Linked DNA regions of Saccharomyces cerevisiae S288C. Changing the gene in region 2 together with the main gene of any one other region gives a genetic interaction. Each region holds a gene or a part of one and is shown on either strand. Other genes may lie near its edges.

Region 1 (3,173 bases), on a different chromosome or scaffold from region 2:
TAAGTGGAAGAGGATTCTTCACTGGAAGGAGCCTTGGTGGAAGAAGAAGAGGAAGAAGAGGATTCGGTGGAAGAAGCCTTGCTAGAAGATGGGGCAGCGCTGCTGGAAGAAGCTTTAGTAGAGGAGGAAGCGCTACTGGAAGAAGCCTTGGTAGAGGAGGAAGCGCTACTGGAAGAAGCCTTGGTAGAAGAAGAGGCCTTGCTGGATGAAGAAGCGGATGAGGAGGCACTGCTGCTGGAATCGCCCAATGAAGCATTTTGTTCGGAACAAGAACTCTTGAAAGCAGAATAAGCAGCATCAGCGTCATTGTTTGGGCAGATGGAGTCTAGACATTTCTTGACGGCGGAGTTTTCGTGTTCACAGTAACAGGTGACTTGATTCAAAGAGTCACATGTGGAAGAGGATTTGCCGACTTGCGCAACACAGGCCAATAAACAAGCTGGAGGTGTTGCTAAGACTTCCTTCGACAACAATGCCAAAGAAACGACTGAAGATAATAAAGTGGTGGCACGCATGATAATATATAACGAGTGTTGAACGAGTGTAGTAGTGCTGTGAGCTTTGACCCTGTGTGTATTAACAACTGGCGAAATCTATTTATCATCCCTTTGTTTATAAGTTCGAGAGTGTTTATAAACGGTGAAAAATTCGTGAAAAATTAACGGAAAAATTGTAAAAAAGAAATAATGGGTCCTAATGCATGTGGTGCATGGGTCCAATGCTTCTATAAATAGTAATTTTCCGGGTAATAGGTTTTTGTAACGTTATAATGGCTTTACTATTGATGCTATATACAGGAAAAGAAAGTATAGAGGTATTTTCTAGTACGCTTCCTTACTGTTGTGGTGGAGTAGGAGGTGTAGGTGGTGTAGGTGGTGCAGCTGGTGTGGATGATAAAGACGGCGTGACCTTTAACAGATTTCCGTCCTCGTCGTATTCTGGGATGGGAATGTCCGTTCTCAAGTTTCCATCCTTACGCAATCTATCGATAACAATGGGCTCGAAAAATCTCGTGCCCGTGTAGACTCCCACAAGGCATGCGATACCTATAGTGACCATATCTAAAGTGTTCTTTCGCATATTGCACTGGACTTGACGTTTCTTGTGTTTGTTACTTTTGTCAGTTGAATGACTGAATAACACTACAATTGTTGTATTTTTCAGCCAATCCATTTCTTCATCGCGTTTCCCCTAGTTTATGCGGAAAAGATAGAAGAAGCGCACAGGCAAAATATGATGTAATACAATCAATTGTGGCCAAAAATACAAGAGAAGGGGATGACTGTAGCTGTATTGTCTCTATTCTTTTCAAGGGGTTGTTGATGTACCGTTGCTGAAGGGTTCGCTGTACTATTTAACACCCTTTGGGCTTTCTAGCTTATTGTTTAAGCAGCTTTTATTGGTGGCGTACATACTAAATTGTAAAGGCGCGCGCCGGTCTGTTAATGATGTTGAAATTTTCATTTCGAGGACTTCGCCCTTTTCTTCCTGAATGAATCAGAGAAAGTGAAATCAAATAGTAAGTCAGAACCAACCATTCGGAAGACCTCATTCTTGCTCATTTTGATATTGCTCTGTATGGGCGTATCTCTTTTAGCTTCTTCTTCTGCATTTGTAACTAAACCACTCCTCACTCAATTGGTTCACCTCTCACCTATCAGTCTCAATTTCACCGTAAGACGCTTCAAGCCATTCACGTGCTTATCACGCTATTACACAACAAATCCTTATAATATGACATCCAATTTTAAGACATTCAATCTGGACTTTTTAAAGCCGGATTTAGACGAAAGATCGTATCGGTTTATTGAGCTACCTAATAAGCTGAAGGCTCTGTTGATCCAGGACCCAAAAGCAGATAAAGCAGCAGCGTCGCTAGACGTCAATATTGGCGCCTTTGAAGATCCAAAGAACCTACCTGGATTGGCGCATTTCTGCGAGCATCTTTTATTCATGGGCTCTGAGAAATTTCCAGACGAAAACGAATACTCGAGCTATTTAAGCAAGCACGGTGGTTCATCCAATGCCTACACAGCATCGCAAAACACAAATTATTTTTTTGAGGTTAATCACCAACATTTATTTGGTGCGCTAGACAGGTTTTCAGGGTTTTTCTCTTGTCCTCTTTTCAACAAGGACTCTACTGATAAAGAGATCAACGCCGTTAACAGCGAAAACAAAAAGAACTTACAGAATGATATTTGGAGAATTTACCAATTAGACAAGTCTTTGACCAATACAAAACATCCATATCACAAATTTTCTACAGGAAACATCGAAACTTTGGGCACATTGCCAAAGGAAAATGGACTAAATGTTAGAGATGAACTGTTAAAATTCCATAAGAATTTTTACTCCGCTAACCTAATGAAGCTATGTATTCTTGGTAGAGAAGACCTTGATACTCTCTCTGATTGGACTTATGATCTCTTCAAGGATGTAGCCAATAACGGTCGTGAAGTACCCCTTTATGCGGAACCTATTATGCAGCCTGAGCATTTGCAAAAAATAATTCAAGTCCGTCCTGTGAAAGATTTGAAAAAACTAGAAATCTCTTTCACTGTCCCTGATATGGAGGAACATTGGGAGTCCAAGCCACCGAGGATATTAAGTCATTTAATCGGCCATGAAGGGTCCGGTTCATTACTAGCACATTTGAAAAAATTGGGCTGGGCCAATGAGCTATCTGCTGGTGGGCATACTGTGTCCAAAGGAAATGCTTTTTTTGCTGTCGATATAGATTTAACAGACAACGGGTTGACACACTATCGCGATGTTATTGTCTTGATCTTCCAGTATATTGAAATGTTGAAAAACTCACTACCTCAAAAATGGATATTCAATGAACTGCAAGATATCTCTAATGCTACCTTCAAGTTTAAGCAAGCTGGTAGCCCATCTTCCACAGTTTCATCATTGGCAAAATGCTTGGAAAAGGATTACATTCCTGTTAGCAGAATTTTAGCCATGGGTTTGTTAACGAAATATGAACCTGATTTGCTTACCCAATATACGGACGCTCTGGTCCCGGAAAATTCTCGTGTTACTCTGATCTCAAGGAGTTTAGAAACAGATTCTGCTGAAAAATGGTATGGTACTGCGTATAAAGTGGTAGATTATCCGGCAGATTTAATAAAAAACATGAAATCGCCAGGTTTGAACCCTGCTCTGAC
Region 2 (3,934 bases):
GGTTTGTCTCTTCCAGATTGCTGTCGGTATAAAATTTCGCAAACTCTGTCTCAAAGCTATCTAGTAATTCAGACATCGTTTCTTGGTTCCCTACTCAGTGCTGCATCTCTCTTGAAGACACACTTATCTCATACTGAATGTGTTGAACTTTACCCCTAATAATAGAGATTCCTCAGCTTTTTCCCCGGCGCGACGAGCTTTCCTATGTGTGAAATGATAATTTTTTTAACTTTCTAACACGAGAATATGAGCATCACCTATTAGTCGTATAAATAAATAATTCATAACAAAATACATAAATTGTAATAAATAAAATGTGTTAAAAATACACACTATCATAAATAATTGTCGTGGAAACAACGCCACTCATTTGTTACTTGAGCGTTTCAAAATTTGGAGTTACTCGAAAGCTCAGAAGCATGTTTTGCCTCAGCTACTTTTTTAATTGCCTCAGATAGTCCCTTATCAACACGAGCAAACATATCATAAACGCGCTGCTGTATTTGAGGACAGGCGCCTTCTACATGAATGCCGATGTTATATGCCAAGTTCTTTTGCTGTCCAGGTTGTTTACCCAAAACGCGGTAGAGATTTCTTGCTTGCACGAAATCTACATCACCTGGGGATGTTGCCCAATGATAAGGGATAGCTGGCCCATTCCATACCTCTTGGTGTTGTTGAATGGGTCTGTCCTGTTGGATATACGTGTACGATTTATCGTTGGCCAAATATGTAGGTTCTGAGCCGAAGTTGCCGTTAACATTCATCGGTCCATCTCTGATAGCGGGATTGAAAAATTTAGATGCATATGGACAGTTTACGGGTATTTGATGGAAGTTAGGACCTAGCCTGTATCTATGAGCATCCGCATATGAAAACAAACGGGCCTGTAATACTGGATCAGCGCTTGCTTCTTGGTAAGGAACCGTGGTACTGGGGGCGAAGGCAGCTTGTTCCACCTGTGCGAAGAAGTTCAGTGGATTCTCGTTCAAAACAATCTTACCCACACGCCGTAAAGGGAATTGCCCCTGAGGCCATACTTTAGTCAAATCAAAGACTGAAAATGGTAATTTTTTGGCATCGCGTTCGGTCATTGTTTGAATATAAACTGTCCAGGAAGGATAGTTTCCATTCTGAATAGCCTCAAATAAATCCTGCTGGCAGTAATCTGGATTGGATCCCGCAATTTTGGTAGCCTCTTCTATGGTCAAATTCTTTATTCCTTGATCGGTTTTGATATGAACTTGCACATAATGCCAATCTCCGTTTTTATTGGACCATTTATAGGTATGACCAGAATAACCATGCATACTACGGTAGTTGGCAGGGGTACCACGGTCTGAAAAAAGGATCATTACTTGATGAATGGCCACCTGATTTTCAGGAGTGGTGAGGAAATCCCAAAACATGTCAGCATCCCTTAGGTTGGTTTGTGGGTTTCTCTTCTGTGTGTGGATAAAGTGAGGGAACTTGGAAGGGTCTCTGATAAAGAATACCGGTGTATTATTGTAGACCCAATCTAAATTACCTTCTTCAGTGTAGAATTTGGTGGCAAACCCCCTTGGATCACGAACCGTGTCGGCACTACCTTTATCACCACCCACAGTCGAAAATCTTGTTAGACATTTCGTTCTTTTCCCAATTTTACTAAACATAGCAGACCCGCAGATATCAGTAATGTCATCGGTTACTTCAAAATAGCCGAAGGCACCAGAACCATGAGCATGTGGATTCCTTTGAGGAATATTTTCCCTGTTGAAATGAGCCAAAGAATCAATTAAGTTATAATCTTGCAAAAGCAAAGGGCCATGTTCCCCAATACGTTGGGTGACAAATGGTTCATTGATTGGATTACCAGTGGAGTTTGTCACAACTCTATCCTCTCTTACATCAGAGTAATTTACTTCATTTTTTTCTTGTCCCAATTTCGACATCTTCTAGGGTTCCAAATTTATTTGTAAGTACTATTATATTTATTTAACTTACCTTTTAAATAAACCTACAAGAAATTCAAATGTACGATTTGGACATTACAGTGAAGAATGCTTTCTACATCTCTTTATATGTATGGCGATATCAAAACTGGTTGTTTCTCCAATTCTGTCACTGTGGGGATTTTCGGAGTTTATATTTGTTAAAGCCGTCCTTTTTCGGATTAAGGGACCCCACCAACTTGCGCGGCTAATTCCGGCCAACTTTTTGCATTACTAATTGCGGCTTTAAATAGTGGTTAGAACAACCGCTCACTTCTTCACGCAAGGACGTTTGACAGAGCTTTTTTCTTCCTCTGTCAACTTTCTCTTTAAAATATTAGTTAGCAGCTTTTCATCAGGAATAACCTTGTAATTCTTGTCGATGGTTTCTTCACAAACTTGCAGCGAATCTATTTCGCTTTTCAAAACTCTCCGAGCCATAACATCTCTTAGTTCTTCCCTTGTTAATGAGTTTCCTTTCGAAGGTTTTTCGATAGAAACGCACTTTTTTATGGGGTAATCGGCTAGACGCTTCATAATACAACGTTTCCATGTGGCACTACAGTTTGTAGTGGCGCGGGCACCTTCTATCAATTGTAAACACTTCTTTACAATTCTCTCCACTTGCCTTTCCATTGCTTTTATGTCCAGTTTGCATAAACCTGGAATTTGGCAAAGAATTGTCAAGATTTGGACCAAAAGTATTAGTTGAGGCAACAATTCACCATTATTATAACAATCATATGAATCTAGTACTATTTCTTCACCTTCTAAGAATTCTTGAATATTGGCGTTATTGCGTAAGATATCAATACACCTGTCCAAAAATTCAGTATTCGTCTCAAAAGTCTCTTTTAACGCCTCGACAATATTTTCAAGTAACACTTCTCCAAAATCATACTTCGAACCGTCCCATTCAACATACCCATATCTTCTTAGTAGTTCCGAATTTGGATGTTCTCCGTATATGTTGTACACTTGTTCATTCTTTTCAATATCCCTCAAAGCAACCATCTTTAAACAGTTAGAGTCGTAAGTTAAATTAGCGTTGCATTTACTGGTATCTGCATTCAACATATCAGCAAGTGGAATCATCGATTTCAAGTAGCGCTCATTTTCAAGTTCTTCTTCACTGGTTTCTTCTTCTTCATTTTCATTTACACTACTATCTTGCATTTCCAAATCAAAGGAGTAACTCAATATAATGCTTGCAATATAGGCAAAATTATCAAACTCGAAGGACGTCGCTACACGTGAAAATTCTCCACCAATTTGTTTGATTGATTTAATAATTCTTTCATGCATCTCTTTGGCTTCCTTTTTTCCTATTCTTTCAAGGACAAGTGATGGTTTTAAAAGTTGCAGTTCATTATCATCCCAAAAAATTAACGCGTTCATATCGCTTGGTTTGTTCCAAACTTTAAAGTAAGGCGCCCATCGGCTTCTTTCTTGCAAAACTTCCATCTCATAAAGTATACAGATAATTAAACCTTCCCACGATCCGGTTTCGTTCAGGAACTTATCCTTGAGAGAAGGATAATCCTTTATCAGTTGAGATGTTGTAACGCTTAAAACAGAACTACGAGGTATTTTAAACAATGTTTCATCCTTCTTAATCTTTTGAGTGGCAACTACTGCGCGGCCTTGATTATCACAACAAAGATCTTTGATTTCTATCTTAGGGGATACTTCAATTTCAGCGGTAGTTTTTAACCAGCAAACAAAGTTTTCGGTATCTCTTGAAAAATCATCCATTTTCGCAAACTTTCCCCTTTATTACTAGTCATATTGAAATGATCGTATTAAGCTTTTACAAAGGTAATGAAATTTTTTCATACTCGAGAGAAAAATATGTGACACATGTGTGTATTACCCGCAGTAACTCTCGAAGATTACATTTGAATAATATCAATACTTCCAGACCAATAGCTTTATTGTATTGCCAGGGCACTTGGTACATG

The links.
Region 1: of CTA1 (region 2) and ECM19, a mutation in one rescues a mutant of the other (synthetic rescue), as found in Saccharomyces cerevisiae (one study listed by BioGRID).

The regions. Positions count from the first base shown.
Region 1 is NC_001144.5:901,066-904,238, reverse strand, and holds ECM19 (Ecm19p), read right to left. Parts: upstream 1,174-3,173; coding exon 835-1,173; downstream 1-834. Other genes in the region: CCW14 (Ccw14p), read right to left, coding at 1-515; STE23 (metalloendopeptidase), read left to right, coding at 1,579-3,173. UniProt on the Saccharomyces cerevisiae protein: May be involved in cell wall organization and biogenesis.
Region 2 is NC_001136.10:967,747-971,680, forward strand, and holds CTA1 (catalase A), read right to left. Parts: upstream 1,935-3,934; coding exon 387-1,934; downstream 1-386. Other genes in the region: ubiquitin-protein ligase RMD5, read right to left, coding at 1-76; RKM4 (ribosomal lysine N-methyltransferase), read right to left, coding at 2,244-3,728. UniProt on the Saccharomyces cerevisiae protein: Catalyzes the degradation of hydrogen peroxide (H(2)O(2)) generated by peroxisomal oxidases to water and oxygen, thereby protecting cells from the toxic effects of hydrogen peroxide.